3 linked regions of the Pelodiscus sinensis genome follow. The protein of the gene in region 3 purifies or fractionates together with the protein of the main gene of each other region. This does not show direct contact. Links are inferred from orthologs where the notes say so. Each region holds a gene or a part of one and is shown on either strand. Other genes may lie near its edges.

Evidence for each region. Proteins that work in one complex are often made in the same cells at the same time.
Region 1: the proteins of KPNB1 (region 3) and DLGAP5 purify together in Homo sapiens (affinity purification with mass spectrometry; 4 studies listed by BioGRID and IntAct, with this or other methods). This does not show direct contact. The link is inferred for Pelodiscus sinensis from reciprocal best matches to the Homo sapiens genes KPNB1 and DLGAP5.
Region 2: the proteins of KPNB1 (region 3) and RCC1 purify together in Homo sapiens (affinity purification with mass spectrometry; 3 studies listed by BioGRID and IntAct, counting the BioPlex papers as one, with this or other methods). This does not show direct contact. The link is inferred for Pelodiscus sinensis from reciprocal best matches to the Homo sapiens genes KPNB1 and RCC1.

What each region holds. Positions count from the first base shown.
Region 1 is NC_134714.1:9,372,592-9,376,336, reverse strand, and holds the start of DLGAP5 (disks large-associated protein 5), read left to right. Parts: upstream 1-1,590; 5' UTR 1,591-1,605; coding exon 1,606-1,619; intron 1,620-3,591; coding exon 3,592-3,675; intron 3,676-3,745. UniProt on the Homo sapiens protein: Potential cell cycle regulator that may play a role in carcinogenesis of cancer cells. Mitotic phosphoprotein regulated by the ubiquitin-proteasome pathway.
Region 2 is NC_134735.1:12,938,367-12,942,111, forward strand, and holds the start of RCC1 (regulator of chromosome condensation), read left to right. Parts: upstream 1-1,539; 5' UTR 1,540-1,696; intron 1,697-3,745. UniProt on the Homo sapiens protein: Guanine-nucleotide releasing factor that promotes the exchange of Ran-bound GDP by GTP, and thereby plays an important role in RAN-mediated functions in nuclear import and mitosis.
Region 3 is NC_134739.1:13,276,375-13,280,119, reverse strand, and holds the start of KPNB1 (importin subunit beta-1), read right to left. Parts: upstream 2,550-3,745; 5' UTR 2,388-2,549; coding exon 2,348-2,387; intron 2,231-2,347; coding exon 2,172-2,230; intron 1-2,171.

The DNA of each region.
Region 1 (3,745 bases), on a different chromosome or scaffold from region 3:
TATGGGGAGGCCCCGCCCCCCCGGGCGCCTGGCGGGCGAACGGCCACGCCCCCTGGCGCCCGGCAACCCCAAATGGTTGGGGACCACTGCCCTATAGATACCAGTGACCAAAGTCCTGCAGGGTATGCAGTGCCCAGAGGGCACCACGGGAATGGCATGGTCATGCAGTACCTGGTGGTGGCCAAAGCCACGTGGGAATGGCACAGCTACGTAGTGCCCAGCCAAATGGGGGGAGGGGGCTGGCACAGTCATGTAATGTCCAGGTGAGGGAGGGCTGGCACAGCCACATAGTGCCCAGGCAAGGGGGGGGGGGGGCTGGCAGAGCTACCAAGTGCCCAGCCATGACGGAGGCTACATGGCGATGGCATGGCTATGCAGTGCCCAGCCATGACCAAGGCTGTGCAGGGTTGGCACATATATGTGCCCAGGTGGGCGGGAATGTGGCAGGCTGCATAGTGCCTGCTGACACCACAGTCCTAGCACGTGAGGTCCCTAAGGCTGCGGCGAATGGGGGCTGGTGATAGGAATGTCTGTCGGGACACTGGCCTCGCCTGGCCGCCCGCCCGCCCGCGCCAGGGGGCGCTGCGGACACAGCCCGTTCCCCTCCCCACGGCTCCGCAGCGCGGCCTTCGGAGGGAACGCGCCTGCCAGCCAATGAGCAGCAAGGGGGAGACGCTCCCGCCAGCCAGTGAGCAGCAGGCACAGAACTCGCCATGTCCAATGAGCGGCCGAGGGGACGCTGGGCTTGGCCAATGAGCAGCTTCCGGCGGGCTGGGCTCGGCCAATGAGGCGCGTGGGCTGAGGTTTGAATTAAGGCGAGGGTCCAGTTCCGCGGCGGAGACGTTGGGCAGCCGTCGCGCCCGTTGGGTCGCTCCGCGCGCAGCACAGGTATGAAGGGCCGGGCAGCCCCAGCGGCGGCACGGGACGGGCTCCGTGCCTTGGCGTTGTCCTGCCCGGGCTCGCTGCAGGGGCGACATCCAGCGCTGAGGGAAGCCGTTAACGGCAAGGATGGGGGGGAGGGGGGTCCTTGAGGAACGGGCTCCCAACACCTGCGGGGAGGGGCAACCGGCTCCCCGCGCCTGGGAGACCGGAGGCGGGGAAGGGAGCCGGCCCGGGGGGAAGGAGCGGGCTCTGGCTTCCAGCGCCCGGCGGCGGCGGCGGCAGCGGCGGGGAGGGGGCGGGGCTGCGTCTCTCTATAACACCATTCATGACAATAGAATCCTCTGGGCGACAGAATGACGTCATCACCAACAGGCTGGCGCGTGCAAATGGCGGGGCGGGGGCGCGTGCAGAGGGGGCAGCCCCCTGGCGGTGCGTGATTGGAGCAGCCTCTGCTCAGCCAAGGGGACTTGCTCTGTCACCGCTACGTGCAAGGAGCGCTGGCTTGGCCTGCGGGGTGAAGAAGGGCTCCGAGAGCCAGTGTCTCTGCAGGGCTCGGGCGGGTATGACCCTCAGTAACCCTGGCTGGCCTCGTGCCGGGGGGAGCACTGAGGCGCTGAGACGTCAGCTGTGACGCCACCGCTTGGTGAGAAGTGTTCTCCCGGGGGAGTTGGTTTGGGAGCATAGTGAGCGAGTGGCTTCCCCTGTGTCCTTGCTAAGCGTCTGATGCTCTTGAGGAGGTACGCAGCATGTTGGGGGAGGCGGGTCTAGGGCCTACAGGTCCTGAGATGTATGTTGCGCAGGTGGCGGGCATATGTCTGCGTGTGTTATATTTGTTCTAGTGCTGCTTTGAATGGGTGTGATTTGGTCTGAAAGATTGCTTGTGGTGATGAGGTTGGGGGATTGTTCGAAGGCTCAAAGAGGGAGTTCTGGAATGCTTTATTTTAGGCTACCGTAACCATTAGGTTCAAAGGAAACCTGCTCAATGCCTTCAAAAGGTGAGCCTGGGATTTTAAATGTTCAAGCCTGCTAGAGTCTAGTCAAGTCTCTAACAATCACGCACTCAACAAAAATATTGTTGTTGTTTTTTATGACTTCCTGCAACTATTTAACATATTAAGGGTGCAGATTATAAACTGTGCTCATAGGAGGGTTCTCCCATCCATACAGGTCAGTGGTTCTCAACCAAGGGAACATATAATTGTGAGGGTACAGATGTATCTGCATTATCTGATTAAAATCTGATGATGTTGATCATTGTTGCTACTAGAGATTTTTGAATGTGCGAGAGGAACTGTGTAACTGAAAAATGTCCGCAGTTACATGCAGGGCAGCAGTCAACTCATCAGGAGCCCGCTTTTAAGCCAGCCCTCCACACATAGGGACTCCTGCTGTCCCATGCTGCTGCCTTTGTTATGGAGGCAGCAGGTGGCGTCTCAGGACCTGGTATACACAGAGAACCCTCATCAATTTAAAAAGCCCCTTCAGTAAAGGGAGCACATTAACACATGGATTAAAACTGCCTTTTAATGCAAAACCTAGACAGAAAGACATTGTCCCTTTTGTGAGTATTAAAGAAAGCTAATTTTAAAGACTGCTTTGGGGAGAAGAGATGAACTATTCGGATTCCTTTAAAAAAAAACACACACACAGTTGTGCCCATGAAAGCTCATGATACCATCTACATGTTTTGTTAGTCTCTAAGGGTATGTCTAGACTACAGGCTTTTGTAGACAGAGGCTTTGTTGACAGCTTCTGTCGACAAAGAGCATCTAGACTACATCCAGTTCTGTCAACAAAGCAAGCTGCTTTGTTGACATGAGAGTATAGATGCAAAGAACAGTGTAGATGCAATAACACCTTCTGCCTACAGGACTCTGTTGACAAAAGGCATTATTCCTCGTAGAATGAGGTTTACTGCCGTTGACAAAACTGCCGAGTTCTGTTGACGTTATGTCAATAGAACTCGGCGGTAGTGTAGACGCACGTATAGTTTTGTCAACAAAAGGCCACTTTTGTCGACAAAACCTTGTAGTCTAGACACACCCTAAGATGCTGCAAGACTATTTCTTGTTTGTTTGTTTTTTAAATTTCAGTTACAGACTAACTCGGCTATCTCTCTGAAGCACAATTACTGGAGTTATTCTCTGGCCAGAAATTGTTTCTTCCCTCCCAGCATCCAGCTCCCTTCTGCCTGCTGTTTCAGCAGAGCTGGAGCTTGGACTTTCTCCCATTCCAGCCCCACAGCTCAGCTAACTGGGGCTGTAATGGAGTTGGATTCTTCTCTGTCTGGTGCCCCTGTGCAGCTAATGCTGAGAATTTCAGTTTCTCTCAGCCCAGCTGGGGCTCAAAAACAAATGGACTCACTTCTTCCTCCCCTTCCTCTCTGTGCAGCTTAACCTGGAACTTTAAGTCTCTTGCAACCACCCAGGCAGGGGGTGCTGAATTAAACTGAGTCAGACTCTCTTCTGCCTGATACCCCATCCCAGTTGGAGTTGGGAGTGTGTCTACCTCCAGCACCCAGGCAGTAAAGCTGGGACTGAAACTGAGTCAGACTCTCTGTTCTTTGCCTGCTTCAGCGAGCATCTTTCCCTGGCTGTTATACACAGCCCAGCTGGGGACGGAATGCTCCAAACTTAGTTCTGATCCCCCATTGATCCTCATCCATCCTGCATTTCCTCACCATCAGCGCACTGTCTATGTTGTCTCCAGGGTCCTAATTAGTGGAGCCAAAACCATGCCTGTGTGCAGCAGTTCATTTCCTCCTGTGCGGCTGCCCACCTGTGTGCCCGAGAGGTAACACTGTTCTGACCTATGGATTTATACTTATGGGAGCATTCTAGCTGAGGGATTGAGACCCTTCCAA
Region 2 (3,745 bases), on a different chromosome or scaffold from region 3:
TAGATCACGTAGGGCAAAATGTTCTGACAATTCATTGACATTACAAAATCTGTTTAAAAAGGCAGTCATCTGATCATGTCCTAACCACATTCTAGCCCGCTAGAATGTGCTTCCTTAACACGTTTGACACGTTGCCCTCATCACATTGCTTCAAAAATGTGAAGATTGTAACATGATGCTTCAATGTTCGCAATGCAGCCAGAACATGAAATGGCTTCTCTTTGCGTAGGGAAGGCATTTTGGAACAGACCTGTGAGCACACTCAAAGTGAAGCATGACTCATCTCTGCACTGATAGGTGTGTAATAGGTTCTGGAGTCATGTTGCCTGGACACCTGTTTGGACAATACTTGCCACAGTGTTCTGTGCTGCGGTTTTGAACATACTGAGTTTCTGTTGAAGTGGGACTAATGTGACTTTGGGCTGTTCTCTCAAAAGGCTCAGAGCATTTTACCAGAGTTAGTTTATCCTCACAACACTCCAGTGAAACTGGTGGGTAGTTCCCTTGTTTTCAAAGATAGGGGGAAGTGAGGTGTAGAAATGACTCGCCCAATGTCACAATAATCAGCAGGGTTAGGAATTTTGACTCAGGAACATGGGACTGGAAAGGAGTTCAAGCCTCATCCTCTCATAATCCCTACATGGATCAAGAGCTAGTTTAAAACTAGTTAGGCTGTTTACCCACTTCTGGAGAAGACTGCTCCAGAACCTCACTCCTCTCTGATTGCTGGCAATATTGAATTTCATTCTACATTGATTCATGGCCAATTTTGACTTAGTGGTTTTGAACTCTGAGCAGGAAGCATCACTCCACTCCTTACAAAATCTATCGGTGCAGCACTATATTTTACAGTCTTAAGAGAGCTCTGCTGGCAATTGTAATGCCTGCTGTGGAGAGAGCAAGGCTGTGACAGAACACCTGGGGAGCAGTTACCCCCATCATTTGTAGTTGTGTAAATTCTGTTTCAAAATTCCATTGGGAGCAATTTTTTAAAATAAATGATCCTTTTCAGTGTGTGGGCTCTCCAGATTGCACCACTGGGGTTGGGCAGATGACATTGCTTAGAAAGAAGATGAGTCATTACCTAAACTGAAATACAAAGTGGTAACAAAACAGGCAAGCAAACATTAATTCTTAAATTATATCCCTTTGAACAATGTGAGTTATTTGCAATACAAGCATGGTTGGGTGTATTGGCCCGGATCCTGTCAGCCCTTGCCCGTGTGCTTAACTTCATGTGTGTGGAATCCATGGAATTCAACTACTGGAGCGCAAAGTTCAGCGTGTGCGCAGAATTCGCCCGCTGCTGCAACTGCATCTGCACCAAGCCGGTCTAGGTGCAGAAGTGGGGTCACACCGCGCCAGAGCCAGCAGCGCTGAGGGGGGAGCACCAGGGCTATTGCTTACGACCCCCGCCGCTGCAGTCGGGGTGGGGGGTGAGCGCTGGCCGGCTCAGGCCCTTTGGCATGTACGATGCGCTACGCGCTTCTGACCCCAATTCACCCCGATTTCTCCGCCCCGTGCTGACAGCCCCCGCCGCGGCGCGTTGCGGCCTTTCCGCGCAGTGGCCAGCAGGGGTCGCTATCACCGCTGCTCGCTGCCGGCTGGCGCTGGGGCCCTCGCGCATGCTCCGGTGCAGCGGGTGGGGGGCCGAGAGCAGCGAGCGGGCCAGCCGGGGTGGCGGAGCAGCAAGGAGGTGAGACACTCGGGATTGCGTCCCACCCGCCTCGGGGGTGCAAGCGGGGCTCCGGCCGGCGGAGGGGGGGGACCGAGCCCCGGGCTCCCTTTCCCCGGTGGGGGCCGAGGCCTGGGCCAGCCCCACGTGGCCGCCGAGCGGCTGTGTGCGAAGGTTCCACGGGTGGAACGCCGAGTGTCAGTTCCCTCCGGCCGCGTTCCGAACGTTCCCCGGGAGCCGCTCGCGCGCGCGCAGCCGCCCCTCCCCCGTTCGCCGAGTGCGGGGCTGCGGCAGCGTGCGACGGGGAGGACCCGGGCCAGCGCGGGAATTTCAAACTCCAGCAGCTGCTCTGTGGCTGGGGGGGAGGGGCCGCGGCGCGCAAGGCCGCGTGCGGGCAGGGGGGGCGTTTGAGGGTCCGTTGCGGGGTCTGATGAATCGGATTGACGGGTGCTAGTGGAGGTCGACCTACCCTGCACGGGGCCGCGCGCGCGTGCGTGTGTGTGTGGGGGGGGGATTGCAAAACAGACCCTTAACTCCTTAGGAGCGTGATGGGGGCCGCAGGCTGGCAGGGGTGGGGATTCTCTGGTGGCTTCGTAAAGGAGTGCGGGGGGGAGCGTTCACACTGTGTCTATGTCTACACTGGCGGCTCCTTGCGCAAGAACATCTTGCACAAGGGTTTTTGTGCAAGAACTCTTGCACAAGAAAACATCCACACTGCCATGTGCGAGCTGTGCTTTTGCGCAAGAGCGCCGTGCGAGAAAGCTCTGAGGGCCATTTTAGCCATCGGGCTTTCTTGCGCAAGAAATCCCTGCCGAGCATCCACACTGCCCTCTTGCGCAAGAGCTCCTGCACAAGAGGGCTTACACCTGTTAAAAAAGAGCGTAGCTCTTGCGCAAGGAGCCCTCTCTTCCCACACCGTACTGTACATTTCCTTGCACAAGAGCGGGCGGGCAGTGTGGTCGTTCTGCAGATTCTTGTGCAAGAATGACCATACTTGCGCAAGAAGCCGTGAGTGTAGACATAGCCTGTGTGTTTGTATGTATCCAGCGTTGTGGCCTTGTTCACGCGGGGCTGCAGAGAAACGAGGCGTGTGAGGGCTTGTAAAAGATACAGCCACACCCACCTGGTTGTAAAAGTCAGAAAGAAAGAACTCAGCAGTGGGCAGAGGGAGGCGTGTTTGCATAGCATGTAGCCTCTTGGGAGTAGCCTCCCTCTTCACATGTCTCATTTCTTTGCAAATAATCGTGATGGTGAAGGCACATTATAGCCATGTTCTGCCCCAGCTATATAGCTGGGAATTAGAGGCTTGATTTTTGTGGTGTTTGGGACTCCTATAACCAGTTAGTAAAATGAAGGCAGGCAGATTGTATGTTGAAGTCACTAAGTAAGCTAAAATTGTGCTGTGCTTTGCATATCACTTTTGTCTGGAAATGGATGTTGTGTTCCTTCTCTCTGGGGCATTTGATATTGGCCACTGTTGGCAGACAAGATACTGGGCTAGCTGGACCTTTGGTCTGACCCAATATGGCTGTTCTTATATATAACTAGAGGGACTACGTCTAGACTGGCATGATTTTCCGGAAATGCTTTTAACGGAAAAGGTTTCCGTTAAAAGCATTTTCGGAAAAGCACGTCTAGATTGGCACAGACGCTTTTCCGCAAAAGTACTTTTTGCGGAAAAGCGTCCATGCCAATCTAGACGCGGTTTTGCGCAAAAAAGCCCCGATTGCCATTTTTGCGATCGGGGCTTTTTTGCACAAAACGAATCTCAGCAAAAGTTTTGCACAAAAGGGACTTTTGCCCGAACAGGAGCAGCATAGTATTTCCGCAAAAAGCACTGATTTCTTACAGTAGGAAGTCAGTGCTTTTGCGGAACTTCAAGCGGCCAGTGTAGACAGCTGGCTGATTTTCCGGAAAAACTGGCCAGTCTAGACACAGCCGGGGTGTCAAAAAACTTTACAAACATTAAAGGGATATAGTACAAAATGATTATATTATTGAAACCTTACCACATTTTCCCCTTGTGCTGCTCATAACATCTTACTTTGTTAAAACTACTGGAAAAACTAA
Region 3 (3,745 bases):
AAATGATCAGGGTATTTTTGTTTGTTTAAACTAGCAACAGCAGCTTTATTCATTCTAGGCCTGAACTCACAATTCTAATTTAGAATTTAATTCTTCTAAACTGCAGACCCAAACCCAAACTTAGTGTACATGTTCTCATGGCTTCCACACACACAGAAGCATTGCAACAAGATTCAGCAAAACCAACCAGCCTCAGACAGTTTAATCAGCTAAACCAAAGGATTCCTCAACATATCCCAATGTTTCAGTGGTGGGCTATGATTCATTAAACAGCTAGCCACAGAACTGGAATGAACATGAAACTATAAGCCCAATTGTTAACGACTCTGATTGCCAGAAGGTTTCACAAACCTTTAACATTAAATTATGTATCAAAAAGCTGCACAGCTTGCATTAATGCTGGTGAAGAGGAAATGTAGAAGGGTGGCTGAAAAATATTCAACTTTTACCTCCCATTCATCAGGGTGCATCTACACTGCCAGGCTTAACTCGAAATAAGCGACGCAAACTGACTTACATCAATTGCATATCTTATTTTGAAATTAGGAGCATCTACACAGTACTTATTTCAAAACAGAGCACCCTTCCTCTGACTTCCCTTACTCCTAGTACAATGAGGGTTACAGGATTCAGAGTAAAAAGTCCTCTAGCTTGACAGTATTTTGATATTATTTCAAAATAACTGCCTGCTGTGTAGATGCGGACCAAGTCATTTTGGAATAGCACTAGTTTATTTCGAAATAGTGTTGCAGTGTAGATGTATACTCAGTCAAGTCAGTGACAATCTTTACAGTAGCAAACAGGAATGCAATAATTCTCCCATATTTAATCACCCAAAAGAACCAGAGATTGCCTCAAGGATGAGTAGAGTAACAAGGCTAGGAATCAGGCCCTTACACCTTTTTTTAGTGTAATAGTTGTAACGTTGTACCTTAATTAGGCAAACATATGCTAACGGTAGAAAGTATTTTTAACTTTTCTGCACAATCCTCCCTTGAGTTTAATAGGTGTGTAGGATGCTAAGACATGCTACACACAACATGCTAATGGGAGTGTGCCATTTGTAGATTGAGTACCCTTTTCCCCTGGAACAAAGTAGCCCCCACCCTTTCCTTTCTCCCAGGGGTGGGGAACCTTTTTTTGGTCAAGGGCCGCACACAAGTGAGAAGAAAAAAAAACCTAACGAAAATCCACACCCCTCATTGATGTGCCCCCCCCAATGAGAAGAAAGTCACTCTCAACATTCTCCACACATAGCAGAGCCTTGGAAAGCCCAGGCTAGTAGAGTGTGTGTGTTCCAGCCCCACAGGGGCTGGAGCACCATTGCAGACTCCCCGATACTAGGGGGAGAGGGAGCCCTAAGCCTCAGTGGCCAGATCCAGGAAAGCTTGGGACTGAATCTGGCCCCAAGACATGAGGTTCCCCACCCCTGCCTGAAACCTATTCTAAATCTGTTCTAACTCCACCCAGGACAGTAGACAGGGGTCCCAACCCGGGTGACCCCTTCACCTTCTGGCTTCTTACCTCTGGGTCAGAGACGGGGGTGGGAAGGAGGGGAGAAGCGCCCCCTTCAGAAGAGAGCAGAGGGTTGCTTCAGGGGGAAAGGGGAGCGGGATCTGAACAGGGTGCAAGAACCAAGGGCCCAGCAATGAAAGGGGAACAGGATGCAAGAATCGAAGGCCCGGCCCGAGGGAACCAGATGGGCCTGGCCCAGTGGGGAAGGGGAAGGGGGAAGGCCTAGGGGGGCAGGCAGGGAAGGCCCAGCATGGGAGGCACGTGATGCAAGGGGGGGGGTGAAGGAGCAGGCTCCGCAAGGGGGGGAGCGGGGCCCTATGGCGCTGGAGGGCGCTAGGGGGTGTCCCAGCCCCCCCCCCGGCCCGCGCTCCCCACATGGCCCGCAGGCCCCAGCGCAGCACACGCAGCGCGGCGCAGCCTACCCTCCCCCTACCCCCGGCTCCGCGCTCCCATTGGCCCGCGCGGCTCGCGGGCGCGCCGCCATTGGCCGGCCGCCGCCCCGGCTGGGCGCTGGCAAGTTGGGCTGCGCCCTCGATGGCGGTTCGGCCTGCGCGGGGCAGGGCGGGGCGCTCCCTGCCCGCGAGGGGGGAGGGGTGGATGGGATATCGAGGGGGGGGGGACCCCGCTGCCGCCCGCCCGGCCCGCGGGCCGCTCACCAGGTTCTCGATCGCCGCCTGCTCCAGGAACTTCTGCGCCGCCTCCAGCTCCGAGCGGTCTGCGGGGAAGCGGGAGCCGGAGTCAGTCCCCGCCGTGGGGCCCCCCCCCCCCGCTCCGCCCCTCCCCCCCCGGCCCGGCCTCCCCTCAGCCTCCCCCCCCACGTGCCGGCCCTCACCCGGCGAGACCGTCTTCTCCAGGATGGTGATGAGCTCCATGGCGGCGGCGCGGGGCGGCTCCTGCGGCGCGGGGGGGCCCCCGGGGCGGGCGGCGGCTCCGGGCTGTGGCGGGCGCCGGCGGCGGAGGGAGAAAGGGCCGCGCGGCAAAAGGGGGGGGGGACGGGAGAGCGCGCGCGCGTGTGCGCGCGCACACACACACACACCGACGAGGCGGAGCGGGAAGGGAGGGGGGGAAGGAGGGAAAAGAGAAAAAGGAAGGGGCGGGCCCGAGCCAGCCGCGCGGGCGGAGGGAGAGGGCCAGAGCCGGGCTCGCGCCGCGGGCGCCGCACGCTCTCATTGGCTGGCGGCGGCCCTCACGCTCGGCGCTCATTGGGGGCCGGGGCGCGCGCGCGGCCATTGGCTGAGCCGGCGGAGCGGGCCGCCCATTGGCCGGGCTGGGCGAGGGCGGCCCAGGGAAGCGGATGGAGGGGCCGCAAGCAGAAGGTCCTGAGGGGGAGGGGCCCAGTAGGGCCAGGGGCCGTTGGGGGAGGGGGGCTGAGGAGGGACCAGTAGGGCCAGGGGCCGTTGGGGGGGGGGGCTGAGGAGGGGCCCAGTGGGGCCAGGGGCCGTTGGGGGAGGGGGGCTGAGGAGGGGCCCAGTGGGGCCAGGGGCCGTTGGGGGAGGGGGGCTGAGGAGGGTCCGGGGCTGCTGGGGGCCCCACTGGGCCTTACCTTCCTTGGCCCCACCCCCAAGGGCCGCTGGCCCACTGGGTCCTCAGCAGCCATTGTGGGGGGGCAAGAAGGGGCCGTTGGGGGGGGGGCCCAGAGGGACCAGGAGCTGCTAGGGGAGGAGGAGGGAGGTGGGACCCAGCAGGGCTGGAGGGGGGATGCGGCCAGGAGTCGCTGGGGAGGAGGGGGCAGAAGAGGGTGGACCCTGCCCTGAGGGGCAGAAGCTGCTGGGGGGGCCTGAGGGGGTGGGGCCTAGTAGGCCAGAGGGGCTCCTGGGGGATTAGCAGGGGGCCATCAGGAGCTGCTGGGTTCTAGAGGACTTCTGGGGGTTTGGCCATAGGGGCAAGGAGCTTCTGGGGCTCTGTCAGACTGGAGCCATAATAGAAGTTATGTAGGGCCTGGGGCTATAGGGAAGGACTTGAAGAGAGTGGGCCCTAGGCACTGGTGCTATACTGGAGGGGAATGACTGAAGCAACAGCACGCAGAGGAAGATGTAAGAAACTCATAATGGACAATTCTGGAATCCTCTGCCCACTGCAGCAGTGCCATCATAAGGTCAGGCAGCTAGTAGTTGGTTTTTGCTCTAATGCAAGAGAATTTCTAGCCCAGATGTAATGATCAGGCTAACAGCTGTGGATTATCTGCTTTTCAATAGGAGCTGCAGCTCAAGTGGCTGGGTTATAGAAGCTA